3 linked regions of the Pelodiscus sinensis genome follow. The protein of the gene in region 1 interacts with the protein of each later gene in a pairwise test. Links are inferred from orthologs where the notes say so. Each region holds a gene or a part of one and is shown in the gene's direction. Other genes may lie near its edges.

Region 1 (3,745 bases):
CCCCCCCAGGCTCAGCCCCCCAAGTACCCCTCCCCATGTGCCCCCCAGGCTCAGCCCCCCAAGTACCCCTCCCCATGTGCCCCCCCAGATTCAGCCCCCCAAGTACCCCTCCCCATGTGCCCCCCAGATTCAGCCCCCCAAGTACCCCTCCCCATGTGCCCCCCCCAGGCTCAGCCCCCCAAGTACCCCTCCCCATGTGCCCCCCAGGCTCAGCCCCCCAAGTACCCCTCCCCATGTGCCCCCCCCAGGCTCAGCCCCCCCAAGTACCTCTCCCCATGTGCCCCCCAGGCTCAGCCCCCCCAAGTACCTCTCCCCATGTGCCCCCCAGGCTCAGCCCCCCAAGTACCCCTCCCCATGTGCCCCCCCCAGGCTCAGCCCCCCAAGTATCCCTCCCCATGTGCCCCCCAGGCTCAGCCCCCCAAGTACCCCTCCCCATGTGCCCCCCCCAGGCTCAGCCCCCCAAGTACCCCTCCCCATGTGCCCCCCCCAGGCTCAGCCCCCCAAGTACCCCTCCCCATGTGCCCCCCAGGCTCAGCCCCCCAAGTACCCCTCCCCATGTGCCCCCCAGGCTCAGCCCCCCAAGTACCTCTCCCCATGTGCCCCCCCAGGTTCAACCCCCCCAAGTACCCCTCCCCATGTGCCCCCCAGGCTCAGCCCCCCAAGTACCCCTCCCCATGTGCCCCCCAGGCTCAGCCCCCCAAGTACCCCTCCCCATGTGCCCCCCAGGTTCAACCCCCCCAAGTACCCCTCCCCATGTGCCCCCCAGGCTCAGCCCCCCAAGTACCTCTCCCCCAGTGCCGCCCCCCCATACCCCGTAAACAGCCTGTCCCCAGATTACCCCCCCCCCCCCATAGCGGCCATTCGCCCTTTAAGAGGCGGGGCCAGCGGCAGCCCCGCCGTGCTGACGTCAGGCGCTGCCCGGAACTCAGCTGAGTTTCCCGCATGGACATTCCCGGCACTTGCCGCTCCCCCCGCGAGGCTTCCGGGCTCCCGTGTCCCTCGGCTCGGCCCTGCGGTGGGAGGGGAAGCTTCGCGCCGGAACAGCCAACTAGGGGCACCCTCCCCCCCCCGCCAATCCTAAATAATTAATCAAGTCAGAGACGGGAGGTGCCGATTGGCCGAGAGGTTACGCCCCCCGTGAATAATGAGCAAAGGCGGCGCGCCATTGGCCAGCGGCTCCGTGACGTATGCAATGGGGGCGGGGCCGAGGCCGAGGGGGCAGCAGGTTTCTGGACTGCCGCGGTGGGAGCAGGAGGCCGAGCGCCCCAGGCAGCCGGAGCCTGGGAGCCCCGTCCCCGCGGGTGAGCAGGGGCCCTGGGGCTGCAGGCAAAGCGGGGGGCGCCTGTGGCATGAGTGCGTGAAGGTGCCGCACCCGTGGGTGCTGGGGAGCAAGCTGCTCCCTGGGGGCGGGGGCTGGGGCTGGGAGGGAGGGGACATTTGAGCCCATGGGTGCTGGGCTGGGGGGGACAGCTGCACCCAGGGGTGCCTGCCCATGGGTGCTGCTCCAGTGGGGGCAGTGTCGTGCCACGGGGGGGGGGGCAGCAGGTCCCATGGGTGCAGGGCAGGGCAGGGCTGGGCTGTGGGGCATCTGCACCCATGGGTGCTGGACAAGGCTGCTAGGAGCCTAGAGTTGGGGCAGCGGGTCCCATGGGTGCTGCCTGCCGGGCTCTGGCATCTCTCTCACGCTGCTGGGGCCCTGAGGAGCGAGGCCGGTGGCAGCGCTAGAGCCAGATTGACAAGCCCTAGAATGAGGAAACTGAAAGTGGCAGCCGGAACCCGGCCCCTCTCGCACATCCATCTTGTCTTGCATCAGCCTGGCTGGGATACAGGCTCTCCCCAGCCCCTCGCCTGGCGTCAGTGGCCCTGGCTGGGTGCTGCCGTGGAGGCTAAGCTCCCTTGTGATGCTGGCTCCTGGTTTCCTTCGGGCAGCCTCTTGCTCCAGAGCTGATGGCGATGGAGGTCGAGGGAAACTGAGCCGGCCAGCCGGGCTCTGCTCTGTCCCCATTGCCTAGCATCTGCCTAGGGGTTGGATTGAAAAGCTTGGCCCAGCTGCTGAGCACCCTTCCTTGTGTCACGGACTCGCTCTGGTTAGGAGCTGATGCTGCTCCCTGGTACCTGCAGTGGGTGGGGGGAAAGCTGCTGCGGTGTCTTTTCTTGGAGAAACTTTATGGCTGGTGCTTGTAAAGCTCCGTGTGGCTCGCGCTGCCTGGGGCCCACCTCACAAGGCCTAAGAGCAGCTTGGGATGATGGGCATCGCCTTTCTTTCCGAGGCCAGTATAGATGCTGCGTGGGTCTCGTCGCCAGGCCAGGAAACGATGCTGTCGTTTTGCTTTTGTTATTAGTCACTGTCCAGTGTCCAGGGGCGATGGGTTTGCAGTCATTGGGGGGAGCAGGGAGCCGTTTCTCTCTTACCCAGAAACAAACTTTCTGAGGACGTGCCCCCCTCCCCCCCAAGCTCTGAGTGCCCTCCTTCAGCTGGAGGAGCCCCGGGCACCCCCCACTTTTGGCCTGAGCACTGGCCAGAGCATCCCTGCCCTGTGATTCAACCGCTGGCCAGCTGGAGCTGAGCCCCCATTGGCTTTAGGGGCAGTGAGGAAGGGGCCTCAGGACAGAGCATGAGTAGGCCCATGGCCTCGGTTAGGGAATGCTTAGCCTTCATTGGCCTTCGCTACCTGCTGCCAGAAAGGTTGAACCTCTCTGGTCCGGCAGCATGTGCGGTCTGGCATGATTTTAGTGCTTGATCCTTCCATGAGGGCAGAGGACTGGAGTCCATGACCTCTCCAGGTCCCTTCCAGTTCTAGGATTCTAGTGAACCAGATGGCCACACCCTTGGTAAGTGGATGAGTTTCCTACAGTCCTATAAAGTTTGTTTACAGCCACCAGGTCTGGCTCTTAGTGTTCTGTGCTGTTGTTGATTAGCTCTAATTGACCCTGAGCCCAGGAAGCGGTGGGAGTGTTGGTAATCCTGCTAGACAATATTGACCTCCCATGATTGGGCAAATTCTCTGATTCTGCACCAGTCAAGTCCCAAGGGTGCCAGACTAGAAAGGCTCCACTTGTAGTACAAAACCAAACACCCCTGCTCTGCCTTTTCCTTGAGGCTCTGCCCCAGCATGGCCTCTTCTCCCAGGCCTGGCACCCCACTCACTCCATCTCCCACTAGGAATGTGAGAGGTTGAGGCATGAGCTGATGCTTATCGCTTCCAGTTAATGGTTAAACTCCTGCAGGGCTGGCTGAGCCCCTGTAACTGATGAAATTGTAATTGGTTACACCCGCGATTCTCAAACTGTGGGTCCTGACCCCCCGGGGGGTCGCAAGCAACTTGGGGGGGGGGGGGGGGGTCGCAGTAGCACAAAGTTTGAGAACCCCTGCGTTACATGGCTAGTGTTTAACAGTTTTTACCTGTCCCTTGCTCATTTTCACTGGGCAGAGGGTTGGAGTTAGGGATAGCTATGTAGGCGACTAGCCGATAAGCATAGCCTTACATGCAGGCTCTTAAAAGGCTGAAGTGCAGCAAGAGGAACCAGTTGTGAGCTGGGAATCCGCTCTCCTGGCTCTCACCTGGTCCCTTCCCCGCATTGCCCTTCTGCTCCTGGGGCTGGGAGCTAAGCTAGCTGCAGTTCTGCAGTTTCCCCCGCTTATCGGCTAGTTGGTGGAAATTCCATTGACTAGTTGATTCAGTGTAATTTCACATCCCTGGTTAGGAATGTGAAAGCTTAACCAGTAAGCATTACCCATACTGGG
Region 2 (3,745 bases), on another chromosome or scaffold:
GCCAAAGTAACAACAACCCTAATTCCCACCCTTTTCCCATTGCCCCTCTCTCCTGCTGTTGCTAGAAAAGGGTGGGATTTAAGGCTGTTGCTCCTTTGGCAAGCTGCTTGGGGTAGAAACCCTGGGCGAAATTCTGGCCCCATCGAAGTCCATAGCCAAATTCCAATCAGCAGTGTTCCCTCTAATTTTTTCCCATCCGTGCATGTGGAATACATTTCGTTATGCATTGACGCATGGGCAGATCTGCACTTCTAGTAGAGACACATCCTGTGGGTGCCCTGTCAGCTGAGCAGCACCTTTCCTGGGTGGCTGCCCACGCACTGAGCCTACAGGGAATACTAGCAAGGGAGGCCAACTCTCACCCCTTCTTTACTTCTGTATGTACAACGTAGGGCATTCAGCGCCTGCCCCTGAGCCCAGGCTGGTGCGTGGGGTCGGGTGGAGCATGGTGGGGGAGCCTCGTAGCCCAGGGTGCCTCCGCCCAGCGGGAGACGCGCCAGACGGGACAAAGCCTTGTTGTTGGCTTGGTGGGGGTGGGTTGTGCAGCCTCGGGCTAATGATTCACCGCGCGCTCCGAAACCAGCGAGGCCGCGCTCTCCCAGCCACCGCCTGGCGCCCGCGGGGTGTTGCCCAAGCCCGGGACTTTACGGGAAGGCCAGCCCCCAGCCCGGCAGCATCACCCCGCCCGGGCCAATGGCCTGCGCGCCTGCCGCTTCCCCCGGACCCGCTCCCCGCCGGGGCGGAGCTGCTATAAGAGCCGCCGCCTGCCCCGCCGCCTCCCCACACTCGCCCCCCTCCTGCTGGCGGTTTGCTGCCTTCCCCGCCGTCTCTCCGCTCCCGTCGCCAGGAGCATGATCGTGGACAGCAGCAGCAGCAGCAGCAGCTGGGAGGCGCCGGCCGACGGCGACTCCAGCTCCATGAGCAGCCCCCTCAACCTGGCTTTTTTCTATGGCGCCTCCCCCTACTCCAGCAGCGAAAGCAGCTGCTCGCCCGCTCCCTCCGCCCCGGGCTCGCCCGGCTCCGACTCGGAGCTGTCCGTCAGCAGCTGCGGGGGCGACGGCTGGAGGAGGGACTCCCTGGACAGCCCGCGCCATGCCCCGCAAGGTACGCGCGTCCCCCCCTCCCCCGGGCGCTGCCTGCTGCAGCCCTCCCCGGCCGCGGCTCTCCCCCTACCGGCTCTGGGAGGCGCGGAGCCTGCCCGCTTGGATAGTTAGCGCCGGCCGTAACGCGGGGCCCTGGCAGGGGCCCTACGGGGAGGCACGTCCACATTAGCCGAGGCAGCGGAGCGGCGCTGGGCTGCCCTGTGTGCTCGCTGCTCTCCGCATTGCACGGGACGTGGGTGGCTGCAGCGCGCCCTTCCCAGGGAGAAGATGCCGGAGTAATTGTTCTAGAGGGGAAGGGAGCTGAGCGCTCTTCAACCCCACTGGAAACCCTAGACAGGACTATGTAGCACTTTAAAGACCAACAAGATGGTTTATTAGATGATGAGCTTTCGTGGGCCAGACCCACTTCCTCAGATCAAATAGTGGAAGGAAATTGGCAAGACTACATATACTAAAGGATACAATCAAAAAAGTGAACACGTATAAAATTGACAAATCAGATTTTAGAACCAAGGGAGGGCGAGGGGGGAAGGAGGTTAGTGTCTAAGAGATAATGATATTAAGGGTGATAATTGGGGAAGCTGTCTTTGTAATGGGTATTGGTGGAAGGATGTATGATGGAAACGGCTTCCATCCAGGCCGGGGTTGCAGCGCTCCTAGTTCCAGCATCTATGGATTTTGCTCAATGGTCAAATGCTCTGCTCACCCTTGCTTACCTCCCAGGCCTATTCTGCAGCTGGATTTGTCGTCTGATGAAAGTAGCTTATGCTCACTTAAAACCTAGACTCTAGATCTCAAAAGATTCAAATAGTTATGATTTGTGTGAGACCATGTGTAAATAGTGTCTTGTGATGGTGGTGGTCCCTTTTTTTCCTTCTGCTAGTCCTTATTTTTGAAAAAATTTTGAAGTGAGGAGGGGAGAGAGGTGCTGGCACCGTCACTGCATAAAGCAAGCTGGTTACCACAAGGGATAGTTTGAAAAAGAATGCCTGGGAATTAATAACTGTTTTGAGAATTAAATATAGGCTAGGAAGAAAGTTTATTTAGAAAGACTGTCATATTTTGAAATTCACTTTCCAATGGGGGGGAAAGAACTATATTTTGCATTGGATGATTCATTTTCTAGTCTAGTGCATCTTTTATAGGGAAAAAAATCCTGTGAGCTCAGCAGAGCATCCTCAGAAGCCTTTGCTTAATAGGGGATGAGGTCTTAGGGCTGCATTCTAATACCCTTTATCCATGGCAAGCAGCACCTTACTTAACAAATAATCCCATTGATTTCAGAGCGGAGTAAGGGTATCAAAAGCTAGCCCTAGGAGATTTGTGTATGTATCATCTGTATGTATTAGGATGTCAGCACAATCTGCCAACAGCCTTTTATGTACAGTGGCTTATTTAAATATAAGTCCTTTGAATATCTTTGCTCCACCATTGTAAGGTAGTACTCTATAATTATCTGCTATTTCTCTCTTTTCCCTCCCCCCTTCCCACCATGCAATAAACAATAGACTTTCCCCTCTGATTTGATTTGTATGTGGTTCAATTTAGTTTCCATGTAATTTCTGTTGAAAACATTTTAATCATATATGCATGACCATAAATATCTTGTCTTGTTGGTAATACCTTTTTTAAAAAGTAAAAATGTTATTTGTAGTTAGGGTTGACCTGTAAGCCTGTTTCCACTTCATATCTCCACTCAAAGGCTGTGTTTCTGGCTAGTCCTCTGGGGAAGGAAAGCTGGGGCTGCTGGACTGTGCTGGGATGAAGTGCTTTGAAGCCCACAGACTCATACTGGACCTCAGTAGTCCTGAGCCCTTTATTTCCTCTTCTGCTAGCCAGAGAAATTTGATCGCCCTTTAGACTTCAGTATATAGATTTTTATGTTAGACTGACTACGTAGTTTCCTTATCAGGTCACATAACTTCCTTTTGCAAGTCTGGATGCCTTAGGTCATCATTTCCTTTCCCACTTCTGTTTTTGTAGCTTCAAAACTGATTTAATTTTAAAGAGGATATGAGACTGAAGAGGTTAGGCAGGGACTGTCACAGTTGTATTGTACTTCTAACAAAGCAAGTCTTTTTTCCTTTTTAAAGCAGTAGTTTCAGCCAGTATGGAGATAACAAACACAAGTAATTCTCAAAATTGTTAGAGACAGTCCTACAGCATTTTGACATTGAATATATTTTTAATATGTAATGGATTGGGGCAAGGAGCTGTCTTTTTGTTCCTTGATTACGATGTGTTTTACTGGTTAACAAGCTGGAAATAATATAAGTGGGGTGTGTGGAAGACTCCAGATAAATAAAATTCAAACTGTTTATATTCTTCAGAATACATTGTCAGCCACTAAAGCATTTCAGAAATCAAAAGACGCTCTACATTTTCAGTTGAAAACAGTTTCGGCTTATTTTCCATTTGCTTCCTTGCATCAGATTGTGCTAGTGCATTAATTTTGTTTGCTTTGTGTCTCAACAGCCGAACACCACATGGGGGGAGGAAAGCAGCACAGAGGACCTTTCCAAGGGGTACGTGTGAAAAATTCAGTGAAGGAGCTCCTATTGCACATTAGAAGCAGCAAACAGATGTCCTCAGGCCATGTTGCTGATGAATTCAAGGTAATTCAGTATTTTTGATGGGATGGG
Region 3 (3,264 bases), on another chromosome or scaffold:
AGGTGCAAGGTGTCCCTCCAATGCCGTTTCTGTCACTTCTGACACCACTGTGCCCCAAGAGGATGGCTTTTCATCTTGGCACCACAGACAGACAGCACACCATCTCATTCCATTGCTTAGGTGCTTGCATGTCATTCCAATGCTACTTTCGGACCCTGTTCTGAGGGCCATGCCCTGGTCTGATGTAAGCGTTACCCCTGGGGGGGCAGGGGAGTCTTGGTCTCATTGCCCCTGTACAGGTTTCCCAAGGGTTTCTCTTTGTAGTGGTGGCCGACCTGGGAAATCCGTCAGGGCGCAGAGCACCTGCTGCCAGCTGGCTGGTTACGTGGGCTCAGGCTCTGCCCGCCTGTCCCAGGATTTTGTTGCTCAGAGGCGGCCACCTTGCGTGGGGGGGGCCTGACCACATGTCGCTTGCACGTGACACTGACTCAGGGATGCCAGGTTTGGCACCTCAGCTCAGCCCCGGGTTAGGAGCCAGGGCATCATGAGGAGACGTCTCATTTTGGGGCACGTGGCACCTTAGCTCCACTTCCGGTCCTCACTGGCCCAAAAGCCCCACTTCCGGTCCTCACAGGGCCTCCCCATGTCCACTTCCGGACTCCTATACCCACTCTTCCGCTCCCCAAGGCCCACTTCCGGTGGTTCTTCCCTTCCCCCCCCACCAACTTCCGCCCTCCACCACCCCACTTCCGGTCAGCGGGGCGGCGGACACGTCTGTACGCAACCCGAACGACTTTCTCGCAGGACCCGCCCCCTCGGGTCACGTGACGGGCCAAGATGGCGGCGCCCATGCAGCGGGCGTGGCTGGGGTTGCTGCGGGCCGCGGCCGCCCGCTCCTACCACGCGCGGCCGCCCCCGCGGCGCCAGCGGGGCGGCGTGAACCGGCCAGACCCCGACGACCCCCTCGTGCCCCCGTGGCAGCTGCAGCCCGCCTATGAGGCCAAGCTGTTCGCGCGCCACGGCTCCGTCTCCGGCGTGGACCCGGCCCGCCTGTGGCCCAGCCCCGAGCGGCTGCGGGAGATGGAGGCCGAGGAGCGGGAGTGGTTCCCCGGGCTGAGGGAGATGGAGGCGGCGCTGGACAAGAAGGAGCGGGAGGAGGAGAGGCTGCGGGTGGAGAGGTGGGGAGGGGGCCAGACCGAGCGGGGACGAGCTCTGGGCCCTAACAGTGGTGGGAGGGGGGGCCCTGGCACTTGACTCATTCCAAGGCGGGGGGAGCTCTGGTCACGGAGGGGTCAGGTAATATTCCTGCTAATCTTTCCACCTATGTGTGGAATATTTGTATGTGCACCGAATCAGGTGCACCACCAGTAGAAGCAAAAACCTAGCAGTGGGCAGTCTGCTGAACAGCTGGATGGCATAGCTGCCCAATTGCACAGCTTACAGGAAACACTGGGGAGAAACCTCATCGTGGAGGTGTCTGGAAGCCCAAAACTTGACCCAGTTCCTGGGGGGGGGGGGGTGCTGGAACCTAACCTTAGTCCTGGAATATTGATCCCCATTTGGAGTATGACACCCCCCACAACACATTACTGTAGGAAATGCCCCAGCCCTGCTCTTATGAGCAAGGTTCCCAGGCCCGCCCCCCAGGAAAGGGGAGTACGTTATTTTACTAACTCCACAGGAGAGGTGACCTCTGTCACCCATACAAATTGCCAAGGCAAGTCCTGGGAACGGCAGTGGCAGGAGAGATACAAAGAGCCTGCCGCTTGTGCCCTGTCGTGGTGAGTGTCTCACGGTTTGTTTCCGATTTGCGCTGGCAGAGAGAATCTGATCGCTGCCAACATGGCCAAGATGCCACAGATGATCGAGGAGTGGCGGCGGGAAAAGGCAGCGCGCAAGGAGAAGGAGCGGGAGGACAAGGCCCGGAAGGAGCGGCTGCTGGCTGAGGTCCAGGAACGCTTTGGTCACAAGGTGGACCCCCGCAGCACCAAATTCCAGGAGCTGCTGCAAGAGATGGACAAGAAACAGCGCAAGGAACTCAAGCTGAAGAAGAAACAGCTGAAGGAGGAGGCCAGGAAGCAAGCTGCTGATGCTGCCACCACTGCCCCAGAATCTGCCCCTGCCTCAGCTGAGGGGGCGGAAGCAGCATAAGGGAGTACACGATCTAGAATCCTCAGATTGGGAGCCATGGTTGTCCTGAACTTAAATTCTGTTCCCTGCGAGTGCTGGACTGGGGCTGAGCAGGGGAGGTGGCAGCTCAGATCTGGAATGCTAGTCGTGCTTCTTGGAACAACAAGTACCCACCACTGGTCATTCTACCTGGGGGTCAGCGGCAGGGAAAAGGGCACTGCACGGCCAGGCCAGCCCCTGAAGTGTGCCAAGAGGGGTGGACAGCTTCCCCCCCTCCATGCTTGTACACCCAGCCAGCTCAGGACGGGCTCTCCAGCCACCCCCAGCTGCATTCAGATCTGCGCTTGGGCCACCTCACAGAGGTTGAGAGAGGCACAGGGAGGTCATTGGAGGATCCTGCTCAAAAGCCCCAGGCTCTTCCCCTCCTCCCCCCGGCCACCATTCAGTTGTGTAACCGCTAGGCTCCTTTCTCTCCCAGCACAGCCGGTTCTGTCCCTTCCAAGTTGGTGGCCTGAAATCCCTGTACTTGTATGTTGAAATAAAAGGCTCTGACGAGGGCTTTGGATACCTGGGACTTTCATCAGCCAGTTCTCTCCTGGTTACAAACATGCCTTAGAAACCCCTGGTTTTTCTGGTAAGAGTCAAGTCTTGCTTACCCCTTCCCCGCCACGGGGATGTCTTGAACTGCTGGTATGGATTGTTACACAGCAGCCCCGTTCTAGCCCAGAGGTGGCTGCATTTCAGCAGCGAGCAATGATGTAGTCACTCTTCACTAGGGCTTTTCAGTGGTAGGTCTCAAATAGCTCTCCGAAGACAGCCCGTGTCACTGCCCTCTTTTACAGAGGGGAAAACAGGCATGGGGAGGAGAAGTGACTTGCCCAATGTCACACAGGAGGCCAGGAACTGGAACCCAGGCCTCATGACATCACAGCCTGTCCTCTGTCCCCCAGCCCATGCTACCTCCAGGAGCAGCACAGTTTAGTTAGGAAAGAGTGAGATTCATTATCATAGGCAGAATTCCCTCCCGGGGCCTGTGCCCTGCACTCTGCTCCTAGTTGTGCTTTCTTCCAAATTGGAGACTGAGTCGTGGGTGGCAAGGGCGTAACCGACTGCTCGGTCCTTCCGTGGAGCCATCTGCAGCCTCGCTACACCCAGGCAAAGGGAATGAGCTGAGACTAGCGCCTAGGTCCTAAC

What was found.
Region 2: the proteins of STAT3 (region 1) and NFKBIZ interact in a two-hybrid assay, tested with the Homo sapiens proteins (2 studies listed by BioGRID and IntAct). The link is inferred for Pelodiscus sinensis from reciprocal best matches to the Homo sapiens genes STAT3 and NFKBIZ.
Region 3: the proteins of STAT3 (region 1) and GADD45GIP1 interact in binary tests that used the Homo sapiens proteins (3 or more experiments, as listed by UniProt). The link is inferred for Pelodiscus sinensis from reciprocal best matches to the Homo sapiens genes STAT3 and GADD45GIP1.

What each region holds. Positions count from the first base shown.
Region 1 is NC_134739.1:9,064,607-9,068,351, forward strand, and holds the start of STAT3 (signal transducer and activator of transcription 3), read left to right. Parts: upstream 1-1,149; 5' UTR 1,150-1,301; intron 1,302-3,745. UniProt on the Homo sapiens protein: Signal transducer and transcription activator that mediates cellular responses to interleukins, KITLG/SCF, LEP and other growth factors. Once activated, recruits coactivators, such as NCOA1 or MED1, to the promoter region of the target gene.
Region 2 is NC_134711.1:151,892,640-151,896,384, forward strand, and holds the start of NFKBIZ (NF-kappa-B inhibitor zeta), read left to right. Parts: upstream 1-756; 5' UTR 757-851; coding exon 852-1,104; intron 1,105-3,578; coding exon 3,579-3,718; intron 3,719-3,745. UniProt on the Homo sapiens protein: Involved in regulation of NF-kappa-B transcription factor complexes. Inhibits NF-kappa-B activity without affecting its nuclear translocation upon stimulation.
Region 3 is NC_134729.1:12,996,534-12,999,797, forward strand, and holds GADD45GIP1 (large ribosomal subunit protein mL64), read left to right. Parts: upstream 1-726; 5' UTR 727-777; coding exon 778-1,118; intron 1,119-1,760; coding exon 1,761-2,091; 3' UTR 2,092-2,627; downstream 2,628-3,264. UniProt on the Homo sapiens protein: Acts as a negative regulator of G1 to S cell cycle phase progression by inhibiting cyclin-dependent kinases. Inhibitory effects are additive with GADD45 proteins but also occur in the absence of GADD45 proteins.